Linked DNA regions of Drosophila melanogaster. The protein of the gene in region 1 purifies or fractionates together with the protein of each later gene. This does not show direct contact. Each region holds a gene or a part of one and is shown in the gene's direction. Other genes may lie near its edges.

Region 1 (6,568 bases):
ATGGGCACTCCGTAAAAAAGAGCTTCTGAGACACTGCCTTTGCCTCCATGAGTGATGAACAATCGAACCTTGCCACTTTGCCACATCTGCGTTTGGGGCCACCACTTGGCGACTTTAAGGTGAGGGTAATCCAAGCTGATGGCACTACCATTTGGACCATCGTAGGTCCAGTAAATGTCATAGTCCGGAAACTGAGCAAAAGCTTTTGTGAAAGTCCGCACCAGTTCTTTAGTGGACTTCCGCCAAGTGAAACGAGTGCCCAAACTGAAGATGATGAGAGATCGATTGCCGGCTGATATTTCCAGAGGAGTCTTATCAAGCTGTTGCTCTAGGACTATACCTCCTATATCCACCATACTGGGAATAAGTGGAGCTATGGGACCCTCGCTGATCATGTGATGATTACTTAAAGCCAGAACCACCGACCGTCGCATGGTTTCAAAACTGGGATATTGCGGTTCGGGAAAGTGCAAACTAAAAAGAAAATCTCAATTGATCGCTAAACAACTGCGTTTAGATACATACCGGTAGATCCTTGCCAGCACTCTCCTCGCCAAAATCTCCATGAACTTCTCCCACATTCCAAAGACCCAGGCCGAGATTCCACTTCGCTGTTGGCCATCATACGGCTGTGGGACATACCAACGCTCCTCGGGATTACCCATAAGGCTGTTGACAAATCCAGTTGGCTGTTGGGTGGAAACTATGGCCACTGGACAATTGAAATGCGCAGCAACTCCCAGCAGATGATCGTTGAAATGATAGCCCAAGAGGAGGAGATCATAGGGAGTATTAGGTTGATTTCTGAGAAACATCTTCCACTCCGGCAGATCAAGCAGATCTCCAGAATGCTCCAAACGCCTAAACATCCGTTCCAGGCGCAGAATGAGGTCCGAGGAGGATACTTCCTCTTTTGGCTGCTGCCAGGGAATGTAAATGTGTGACACATTTCCCTGAATTTCCTGCTCCTCCAGCGGCAATGTGGTGACTAGGGTTAAGTGGTGACCCCTCTGCAAAAGAGCGCGACATACCGCCAAATGGACCATTAACTGCGACCGGTGCACATTGACAAAGAGACCCAAAATGTGATGGGATTCCACAGGGGCTGGGCTATCGGCCAGCAGGAAAATGCATGTGTAGCCCATCCACAGAAGTGACCAACTGATCGGCGAACGCTTCATGACTGAGGCGCTCGACTCAAATTTACATTAGCAGCTAATTAGCAGAGTCGCACGGACACACCATAAATCAATCAAAATGATAACAAGCGATTTGGTTACCCAACGACATCAAGTCGAAAACTGTGGCGTCACGGCGCTGTCCAATCAGAGCCATTAACAAATTTAACAAAATCAAAGAGCACAGTTATTTATGTTTTTAACTATTTATTTAAGTGCTTAAGTCAGATAACTTCAAACCTTACGCCTTTATGTTTCACCCAGTTCATTGTTACATGTATCAAATGTGTCGCCCAGTTTTACACCCCTTATCGAAAATGTGTTAAAATTTCGTTTTAGGAAAATCATAAAAATAGTGATAGGGATAGTTAGTTATATTTATTAGCAGTCATTAGTTTAGCTGTGACACCTTTTTTGGCCAAGTTTTGGAGAAATGAGCGATTGGAAATATACGATTTTCGACAAAATTTCTCTTCGTTCCTTTTTCGTTACAAAAATAACGAGTTTTTTTGCAATAGCAATAAGAATAGTTGTCCAAAACTGGAATGTCATATCTCGTTGAATTCGTAACTTAATTCCCTATCCATATGTGTTGAAACCTGAAAGATCCAAGAGGCTTCAATTTTTTGCAAATTTTGATGAGGGTACCCCTTATCAAAAATGCGAAATTTTGTAAAAATTTTATTTTTGGAAAATCAAAAAACTAGTGATAGGGATAGTTAGGTATGTTTATTAGCAGTACAAAACAGTCTTTATTTTCGCTGTGCCACCTTTTTGGCCAAGTTATGGAGAAATCAGCGATTGGAAATATACGATTTTTGACAAAATTTCTTTTCGTTCCTTTTTGGTTACAAAAATAACGAGTTTTTTTGCAATAGCAATAAGAATAGTTGTCCAAAACTGGAATGTCATATCTCGTTGAATTCGTAACTTAATTCCCTATCCATATGTGTTGAAACCTGAAAGATCCAAGAGGCTTCAATTTTTTGCAAATTTTGATGAGGGTACCCCTTATCAAAAATGCGAAATTTTGTAAAAATTTTATTTTTGGAAAATCAAAAAACTAGTGATAGGGATAGTTAGGTATGTTTATTAGCAGTACAAAACAGTATTTATTTTCACTGTACCACCTTTTTTGGCCAAGTTATGGAGAAATCAGCGATTGGAAATATACGATTTTTGACAAAATTTCTTTTCGTTCCTTTTTGGTTACAAAAATAACGAGTTTTTTTGCAATAGCAATAAGAATAGTTGTCCAAAACTGGAATGTCATATCTCGTTGAATTCGTAACTTAATTCCCTATCCATATGTGTTGAAACCTGAAAGATCCAAGAGGCTTCAATTTTTTGCAAATTTTGATGAGGGTACCCCTTATCAAAAATGCGAAATTTTGTAAAAATTTTATTTTTGGAAAATCAAAAAACTAGTGATAGGGATAGTTAGGTATGTTTATTAGCAGTACAAAACAGTATTTATTTTCACTGTACCACCTTTTTTGGCCAAGTTATGGAGAAATCAGCGATTGGAAATATACGATTTTTGGCAAAATTTCTTTTCGTTCCTTTTTGGTTACAAAAATAACGAGTTTTTTGCAATAGCAATAAGAATAGTTGTCCAAAACTGGAATGTCATATCTCGTTGAGTTCGTAACTTAATTCCCTATCCATATGTGTTGAAACCTGAAAGATCCAAGAGGCTTCAATTTTTTGCAAATTTTGATGAGGGTACCCCTTATCAAAAATGCGAAATTTTGTAAAAATTTTATTTTTGGAAAATCAAAAAACTAGTGATAGGGATAGTTAGGTATGTTTATTAGCAGTACAAAACAGTCTTTATTTTCGCTGTGCCACCTTTTTTGGCCAAGTTTTGGAGAAAACCCCGTACGGGCATATCAGATTTTTAGCATCATCTTTTGCAGCGCTGGAGGAAGCCAGAGTTTTCACTCACCAATAAAAAATGTAACTTAGTAACTTTAGCCAGATTTTCCGTTACTTTTTAAGTTTGCGCTGAACAAATGCAGTATTTTCTAGCTGCCGGGAAAGAAAACCGGATAAAAAAACCCGAGAATCTGCTGTAGGACTATAGGTGTGAAAACCACATAAATTCTGAGTTAGTATTTTAGTGGTTTTTTGGGGCTAGCAAGCTTTGGTCACATCAATCTGATCCCTTAGCGGCGTTCCATTCAAAAACTGCCATTAAAAATTAAAACTCTGGATTGAATGGCGTTATCAGTCGAAATTGAAAGGGTAATGGACCAGGGCAACTGCCTGATGCCCGACATCAATATCTGCCAAAGCGACTTGGCCAATCCCACCGAGCCCATTGTCACCAAGATCATGGTGCACTATCTGCGGAGTTTCGGCTTTCGCCTGGAGCCGCCCTATAAGATTGGCACCGAACTCGGTCACTCGTCGCGGGAGGCGCGCGTCTTTCTTATCCGAGTGTGCCGCCAAGTGGAGCGCATCGTCCAGATCAGCTTTCCCAACAAGACGTACACCTATATGGACATAATTAAACCAGGTGAGCCGGCAGCCGGTCTTACAATAAGCAATTATTATTAAACAATTCTTTGGCTATTAGCTGTTAAAAAAACGCTCGCCACGCTGAGCTACCTTTTCAACCATCTGGCCTACTACAAGGTGTTCAAAAAGAAGGTGCTGGGACCTGTAGAGGAGGCCATTAAGCTAAAGGATTCGCTGACCGCCGAGGTGAAGGCCAAAAGTCAACAGCTGGAGCAATGCAGCCAGAAGACGAAGGATTGCGAAGTGGCCATAAACAAACTCAAGAAAGATTTGCAGGATACTCAAGCAAAGCTTCTACCTTTGAAGAAGTCCTGTAGCGAGCATGAAAACACTCTGGAACTCATTGAGCAGCAGCAGGGTGAGCTGGACAAACGCATCGGTCACTGGGAACAGCTAGTGGTGGAGGACAGTCAAGTGACAGAGCTGCGAGAGTAAGTGCTGTCGGGCAAGCCTAGATTCTGTGCTTATTTTAATGTCAAACATTGTAGGAAAATTAAGAGCGCATCGTCGCATGTCGAGAGCTGCAAGACGGAGCTGGCCAGTAAAAAACAGGTGACGAATGAACATCGCCGGATGATCGAAAACAGTCAACATATAGCCACCGCTTTGGAGAAGGCCACGGCTGTGCTTTCGCTGTGCAAGGTGGATGATTACAAAGAGAGCTTCAAGCAGCTGGAGGCAGTGGAAAAGCAGTTGCCCACCTGTAAAGTTAATTATCAGAAGCTCCTTCAGGATGCAGAGGCCAAGAAGCAGGAACTCGCTCTTTGTGCACATCGGTACGAGGAAAGAAACCAGGAAAACGATGCCGAGAATCACAAGGTGCAAAATGAACTCAAAAAGCTGCAGGTCGATGTTGAGGATCGCAAGAAACGTCTGGAGGATCTGAATAATCACTTGATCGAGCTAGACCAGCAAAATTTGGAGCAAGATCAGCTATATGCCATATTAAATGAGCAAATCCATGAGGTTCTCGGACAAAACTGGCAGATGAATTCCACTTAATATACTGATTTTATTCTATTAATGCAAAACAGCTCAGCTCGTTTTTATGGTTAGGACTGAACAAAGGGGTCGGTGCCGGTTTACGTTTCCATTTTCTTGCTCTCCAAATGGGCCTTCAACTGCTGGCTGAAGTCGTCCTCCACGTTGTCGTCGTCCCAGTTGTCCTCCCACACATTTAGCTCTTCCTCGTCGTCGCCAACGCGGAAATCTACAATGAAAGTGATTAGAAACTGCCGATGTACCACCACATTATTGCGTCCAACCTTCGGCGGGAAACTCTTCGAACTCGTCGTCCTCCTCCAGGAGACCCAAGTCTTCGCTCTTGTTGTTGGTCTCCTCCTTCTCTTTCTCCTTTTCCTTATCTGGGGCAGACATTTTGTGTGCTTTTATTAATTCCAACGGCGATAAAACAATGTTTTTGACGCTATTCGCGTTTTTTGTTGCTAAATGATGCCAGTCACTTTTAATTGTGTGACCGCAGCTGTACCGTCGAAATATACCCAAGTGAACAGGAAAAAATACTTTCAAAATACCGTTGGCACCCGACAGTGATGTCAAATCTAACTTTATAGCTAGAAAAAAAGGCTAAAGAATTAATTAAGAATATTACAAACAAATGTTGGCAGATATTTGGCAACTTGACACAGCCGTTAATAATTCTAATATATTTCTCCTTTTCTAGTAAAAGAATTAAGTAATTAGGCTTTTCACCCGACTAAATTGTGAGTTGAATTCAAACGCAAGCTATTACAATCCCGAAAAAGTTGAAGCACTTTAAAAATGAAGTTCATTTAAGATCTCAAGTTTCTCAGGTTTGTTGTAGACTTTAAAATTGGCTTTATATGCATTTAATGATTTGTATAACATTTTTACGGCTGGCTATTTAGTTTTCAAGCTAAAGGGATTATTGAGCATTTGGGTTTTAAGCTACATTTAATTTAACTGTTGCTGCTGGTTGGCTATTTTAAACAATTAGATCAAAAATGTACCATATGTTAACATTAATAAATATATATGTTATATGCGTATAGTTTTTCATATTGTTTCCGTTCTTGAATTGCTGCCTTTTGATTTATTGCATAGCGAACTTTAAGTTTTGTCTATTTTTGGGCTGGTTTTCGTGCTGTCCGAAATGTAGTAAAAATAAAACATATTTCACAATTTGTATTCTTCCATTTAGTTGACTTAATGGTAAAAATTTTGTATGCCAAAATATATACTCCTTTGTTGCATCGTTAGTTTCGGTTTCTAGAGTTCACAATTTTAACTCTAGTTCAACATTTAACATTTAGTTGTTGCGGTCTGCAAATCTACATAATTAAATAGTTTGTTTGATTTCGTTTGTGTTTACATTTAGTCTGCTAATGTTATATACGAGGAATAAAACACCTTATATTTGATTAGTAATATTGTTGATCAGTATTGTGTGTGGTTTTGGGCTCTCCACTTCGCTCCTTCTCCGTCATTTTTTAAACATTATTATTCATCACAGATGCTCTACGCACAAATCAAATTAAATTCAATGCAATTATTATCATCGTTTAACAATTTGTTACAAGCTCCGATTTTCCGTAATTGCTGTAGCTAAATGGGGCGACAAGTTGGATGGGACACATATCCGTGGGATCGGGACATACATTCATTCATCTGGATTATCCCTGAACAAGAGCCTGTCCTGCTGCTGCCAGCCCACTTAAGTAGTGGTGATCGTTTACAGTGTGTGGAGAGTGGTTAATTCTATTTAGTTTATAAGATAATATGAAAGCTTTTCTAGAAAAAGTGTTGTATCACATATAGAGGAAGTGTTAAATATGTATTCATTTGTTTAGCATTCGGTTTTGCCAACTGTTTTGTTGCTTCAAGTC
Region 2 (4,819 bases), 6.3 Mb from region 1:
GAGATGCGGAGCCAGAACATCGGAGCTTACAAGAAAGCACGCAGCACCCACACGCAAAATTCAAGTGTCCTTGGAAAGCTACACGGAGAACTACTTGCACTCCCATCAACTCGCCAATAATAATAAATAAGCAGATAATACTGTTCATAAACACATCTGCAGATAGAGTTGAAAGCCATTTGTTTGAATTGAAAGTTTGGCTAAGAAGTAATTGCTGCAACTTTATGTGGCAAACCTTCGATTTTTTTTCGCAGTGCAACCACACACTCAGCAATCTGCTGGCTGTTTAAATATGAGCAACAGATTAAAACTTAATTTAAAGTTGACCCAGCCGGGTTTCGTGTTTCCACTTCAAGTTTAATTAATATGTTAAGCCCGTAAAAGCCGCTTCGGTAAACTAACCCCACCAGCCGGTTGTTGCTCCGGTGTTTGTTTTTTGTTCGGCCCATTCCCGAAAAGGAAATCAACCCCCCCCCCTCTCCCACCGAGAGCTTAGGCAAACAAAAGGTTTGCGAATCGCATTCCATGGAAGATGAGGCGTCTCCAACGATATGAAGGACTTACATGTGTAGCTGGAACTCGGTTTGCATACCAATTGTCTGACGCTACTTTCGACCATTGTACTTGCGTTTCATTAGTGTTAATCCGCAAAATCGGTAGGACTACGGCTGCCATATCCAGATATGTGCAGATACATATACACAGCCTTGTATATGGCGGCAGCTGTGGTTTCATGCATTGTTCTAATGCGTGCTTAAAGCGCATTTCCAGCACGCATGAGTGCCCACAGTTGCGGTCACATGAATAGTGGTCGGCTCCTAACCATCGATTTGCGCGACAGCTTGTTAGTTCAGAAACTATTAAAAGTCGCTTAACTCAGGCAAATTCTGCACAATTGATCTACATATGTGTGTCAAGCACACGTAGGCGACCTCCACTGTGGATTTGCATGCGAATGCAGCTCCCAAATTCACGAACAAAGCACAAAGCACCACTCGACAAATGCGCTGTAATTCGAGGCGACAAGTATGCAGCGAAAATTTTAAATGCATTTCACGCACTGCGGCTGACGCACCGCTCCCCCAGCCCCACACCCCCTCCCACCACTGGTATTTTCCCAGTGGTTCTCCATTCCTGTCACGCCCGCAAGTGTCGCCAAGCGACGGCTGCCGCTGCCAGCCAGGACCCACTGTTGCACACAGGACGAACAGATCAGAGCCAAGCCAACATATCCGCTTCTCATCGATATTTAAATAGCGCATAATCAAGGTGATGATAACACTATCAGCAAATGGTTATAACACACTGATGTTCTTAAACTAAGAAAACAACAATGTACGTTTAGAAGCCTAAAAGGATAAGTGTTTCTTTCAGTGCAGATGGCGTTGACTTGATTGGAATTTGACCAGAATTTCGCCCACTGGCAAAATGGAGCATCAATTAGAGCCAAGTGATTTATCCAATTTGTAGCAGGAGAAACCCTTGACAGGACGACACGAGACTTTCTGATTAGTAAAATAAAACTCGAATAACTTTTTAGCAATCTGACGTCAAAGGATCAGACACGAACGCTCGGAATTGAATATCCAAAAGTTTCTTCTTTCCTCGAGATACAGCTGAACTTTGCTCAAGAACTGATTGCTTTATGTTATATGGAAACTCAGAGGAATAACTTTCTCAAAGGGTTTCTAGGTAAGTGATATGAGTTTATTAAGAAGAAGTATTTTTTCAGAACTTAACATTTTCACTAATTAAAGAGAAGACTTTCGGGGAAAGCATATTCTCTCTTTTGAGCAGGACAAGCGCAAACAGTGTGAGAAATGCATAGTTATTTGGATTGGTATAATTCAGAATTCAGAATTCAGAAAAGTATGCAAAACTTTGTCTCAGAATTTAGGCTCATTTGCATACCAGTCGCACCACAAAAAGTCAACATCTCCAAGTTTTTCACACCATGTGCACGAGAATAAGAATATTAAAATCGCATCTTGCTTGAGGTGTTCGCTTTATAAAGCCATTACCAACTATCCGAAGGACGAAGGCGGGTGGATCCTGGGCGGTGGTTCCTGAACAGTCCGCATGTGTCGGCCGGCATTTTAACACTTTAATCATTGAAATGCAAATTCGGAGCCGAGTTTTAGCAAGACATGCGGCAGAGTGGCACATGCATGTTAACACGGCCACCGACTGGCACGCCTCCTGATTCTGCTTCTGTTCCTGGAGGGGACAGCTCAGGATTCTGGCCGGGATTTAGCATATCTGAGATCCGGGCCACACAAAGAGAAAATGTGTATCGAAACGGAGAAGATGCTAGTGGGTTTTTCAAATCTCACTTAATGGTGCCTGAAAGTATGCACCAAGTTTTGAAAAACATGTATGTCCCATGGGTAACAATGTTTTCCGGGTAACAATTTCGAACTTTCCACCTTTTCATTTTTGTGGCATTTATGGGTCGTTATAAGATTGATGTCGAAATGATTTTTCCTGTGCAGGGGAGAGCACATTTCGAATTCTGCCTACTCCACAGCTGAGTTCCTTTTCGGACCCGGAAAATAATGGAAATGCCGGACCCGGCGAGCGAATAAATTAACCTGGATCGCATTTATATTCGAAAGTAGTGGCTCGGTGATGCTTAAACCTGAGTTTGCCGCAGAATGCTTCCTTTATTGCACGTAAATAAAGTCATAAAGTCATCATTACAACCGCGCCAACGAGGAGCACACGATAAGGAGCACAAAGGACAAACTTTTGTGACTGCGATAAAAATTCGCAAATGCGCACAAATTACTCAAAACATATTAAAAACTGCGTCCCCGCCTCAACAATTTGCCCAAAACGTTGCACAAATTAAAAACCCTCTCGAAAGAGCGGAGATAAAAGGAAATTCCATTGTGGCAAGTTTTCCCGATGTGGCAAACTGCAGTGAAAGCACAACTTTCGGGGAAACTGAAAAGTGCAGTTATTGAGTGTTAGTTGCAAGTTCCTTCGCCGATGCGACATGTGAAAAGTTGTGTAATTCAGTTCGAGAAATACACTCTGAATGTGGCGTAAAAAATGAGTTCAATGTTATATTGAGTGTTTTCGAAGTAATGCCAACTTACCAGATTTGATGCTTGAATTTAACCAATTAGCCAATAACCGTTGTTTAAAATAATTTATACAATATATATGTTATCATAATTGAAAGCAGCTCGAATACCCTATACCTACAATCATGTCATATAGGGGTTGGTATTCACAACCTATCTGTAAATGGTCACATATGTTTTCGGTCGCCAAGTTTTGCTTGTAATTATTATTTTGCCAGAATTGTGTTAAAAGTATGAATAATATTGAAGAGGACACCGAAGCAGCCTTCAAACGGCTCCAGGCTGTCATTCCACAGGTGAAGCAGGCCTACGAGGAAGCCATTGGACAGATCTTCTCGGATTTAAAGTAGGAGAATGGCTGATTAAAAGATTGACCAAACGCTTACTATTGCTTAGCTCCTCAGATCTTGAGTCGTGTGCCTCCATCCTCGAGGAGCACGAATCCACGAGCCTGGACACCGAGCAAATAATCCACAGCACCCGTCGGCTTATGACCAAGATCGTCCTGGATGTGAACCAGTGCTTCTTCTCCGGCAACGACGTGGAGACCAAGCTGACCACGCTGGAAATGCTTAAGGAGCAGTTTGCCGCCCACGAGGGCAAGAACTGGTTAGTGAATGGTTTTGAATTTGGTTGTCCAGCAGCACTTTCCATGGTTTTTAACGTAAATCCGCAGGAACTTCAACTGTCTGTCCCCTGAGGAACTTACTCGCCCTCTGCGCATGCACAACTTGAATCTAAGCATCACATTCATGGAGCAACAGCTTAAGAAACAGGAAAAGGAACTCGAGGTATGTATTTCAACCTCCGAAGAATTAAGTAATACTTGGATTACTTCGATTTTAGATTGCTATGGCCAAAAGCATTAAAAATCGACAGCTTATACATGATGTCCACGCTGAACGGGTGAAAGTGGGATGTATGATGAAGCAGCAGTTGGCCGAGTACCAGGCCATTAAGCCACAGTTAATGGAAATGGAACGGCTAATAAATGATTCGTATGTGCAGGAAGAAATGTAATTTTATAAAAAAAAACAGATTATTATTATTATTATTATTATTATTATTATTATTATATTAGTTGCTGGGTCTTGAAATAAATATGAATTTCAAACTTACCGCCACAAGTGGCATTGAATTCGAGCGGCGCTTTCCAACACTTCGATGCGTGTGCACAGCTGACTTGCCGGCAAATGAAAAACATTGAATAATATTCCGAAAGCATGCTGAACTTGTCCGTGGTGCTCCGGGTGCAATCATCGCGCCATGTGGCTTCATATGCCACAGCGGCGGCGGCGGCAGTTAAGACGAAGCCACCAAAGGCAAAGTCCAAGGGCAAAAAGCAGAAGGGGGAGCCCCTAATCTCCTGCAGAAGAAGCCAGTTCGATTTAACCCAATACGAGCAGACGGATGCCAAGTTTGGGAGTCTTTCGCTGGCCTCCAAGGGCTGGCTGCACAACAAATCCAAGGGAGACTTCTTCATCCTGAACGCCAGCGTGCGAGGTGAGGAACTCCAGCAGGAAATGCAGACCGTCGATGAGTTCCTCGAGAGCACGGGGATGCAGATTCATCCGCAACTCCTTGAGAACTTGCGAGTCGAGCTGGGCATCAAATTACTGACGGGAATCCAAAAACAGGGAATGCCCGTTGTCCATGGAAATGAGCACTGCCTCATTGCCGCTGAAACTGGGTGTGGAAAAACAATTACATATCTCCTGCCTATCGTAGAC

What was found.
Region 2: the proteins of Nuf2 (region 1) and Nnf1b purify together in Drosophila melanogaster (affinity purification with mass spectrometry, with the first as the bait; one large-scale study listed by BioGRID). This does not show direct contact.

Annotation. Positions count from the first base shown.
Region 1 is NT_033779.5:7,062,596-7,069,163, reverse strand, and holds Nuf2 (Nuf2), read left to right. Parts: upstream 1-3,326; 5' UTR 3,327-3,398; coding exon 3,399-3,699; intron 3,700-3,759; coding exon 3,760-4,132; intron 4,133-4,189; coding exon 4,190-4,703; 3' UTR 4,704-4,733; downstream 4,734-6,568. Other genes in the region: Ugt307A1 (UDP-glycosyltransferase family 307 member A1), read right to left, coding at 1-474, 526-1,181; Sem1 (suppressor of exocyst mutations 1), read right to left, coding at 4,784-4,911, 4,967-5,078.
Region 2 is NT_033779.5:807,324-812,142, forward strand, and holds Nnf1b (Nnf1b), read left to right. Parts: upstream 1-3,253; 5' UTR 3,254-3,322; coding exon 3,323-3,435; intron 3,436-3,485; coding exon 3,486-3,698; intron 3,699-3,765; coding exon 3,766-3,880; intron 3,881-3,935; coding exon 3,936-4,109; 3' UTR 4,110-4,208; downstream 4,209-4,819. Other genes in the region: Dbp21E2 (DEAD box protein 21E2), read left to right, coding at 4,313-4,819.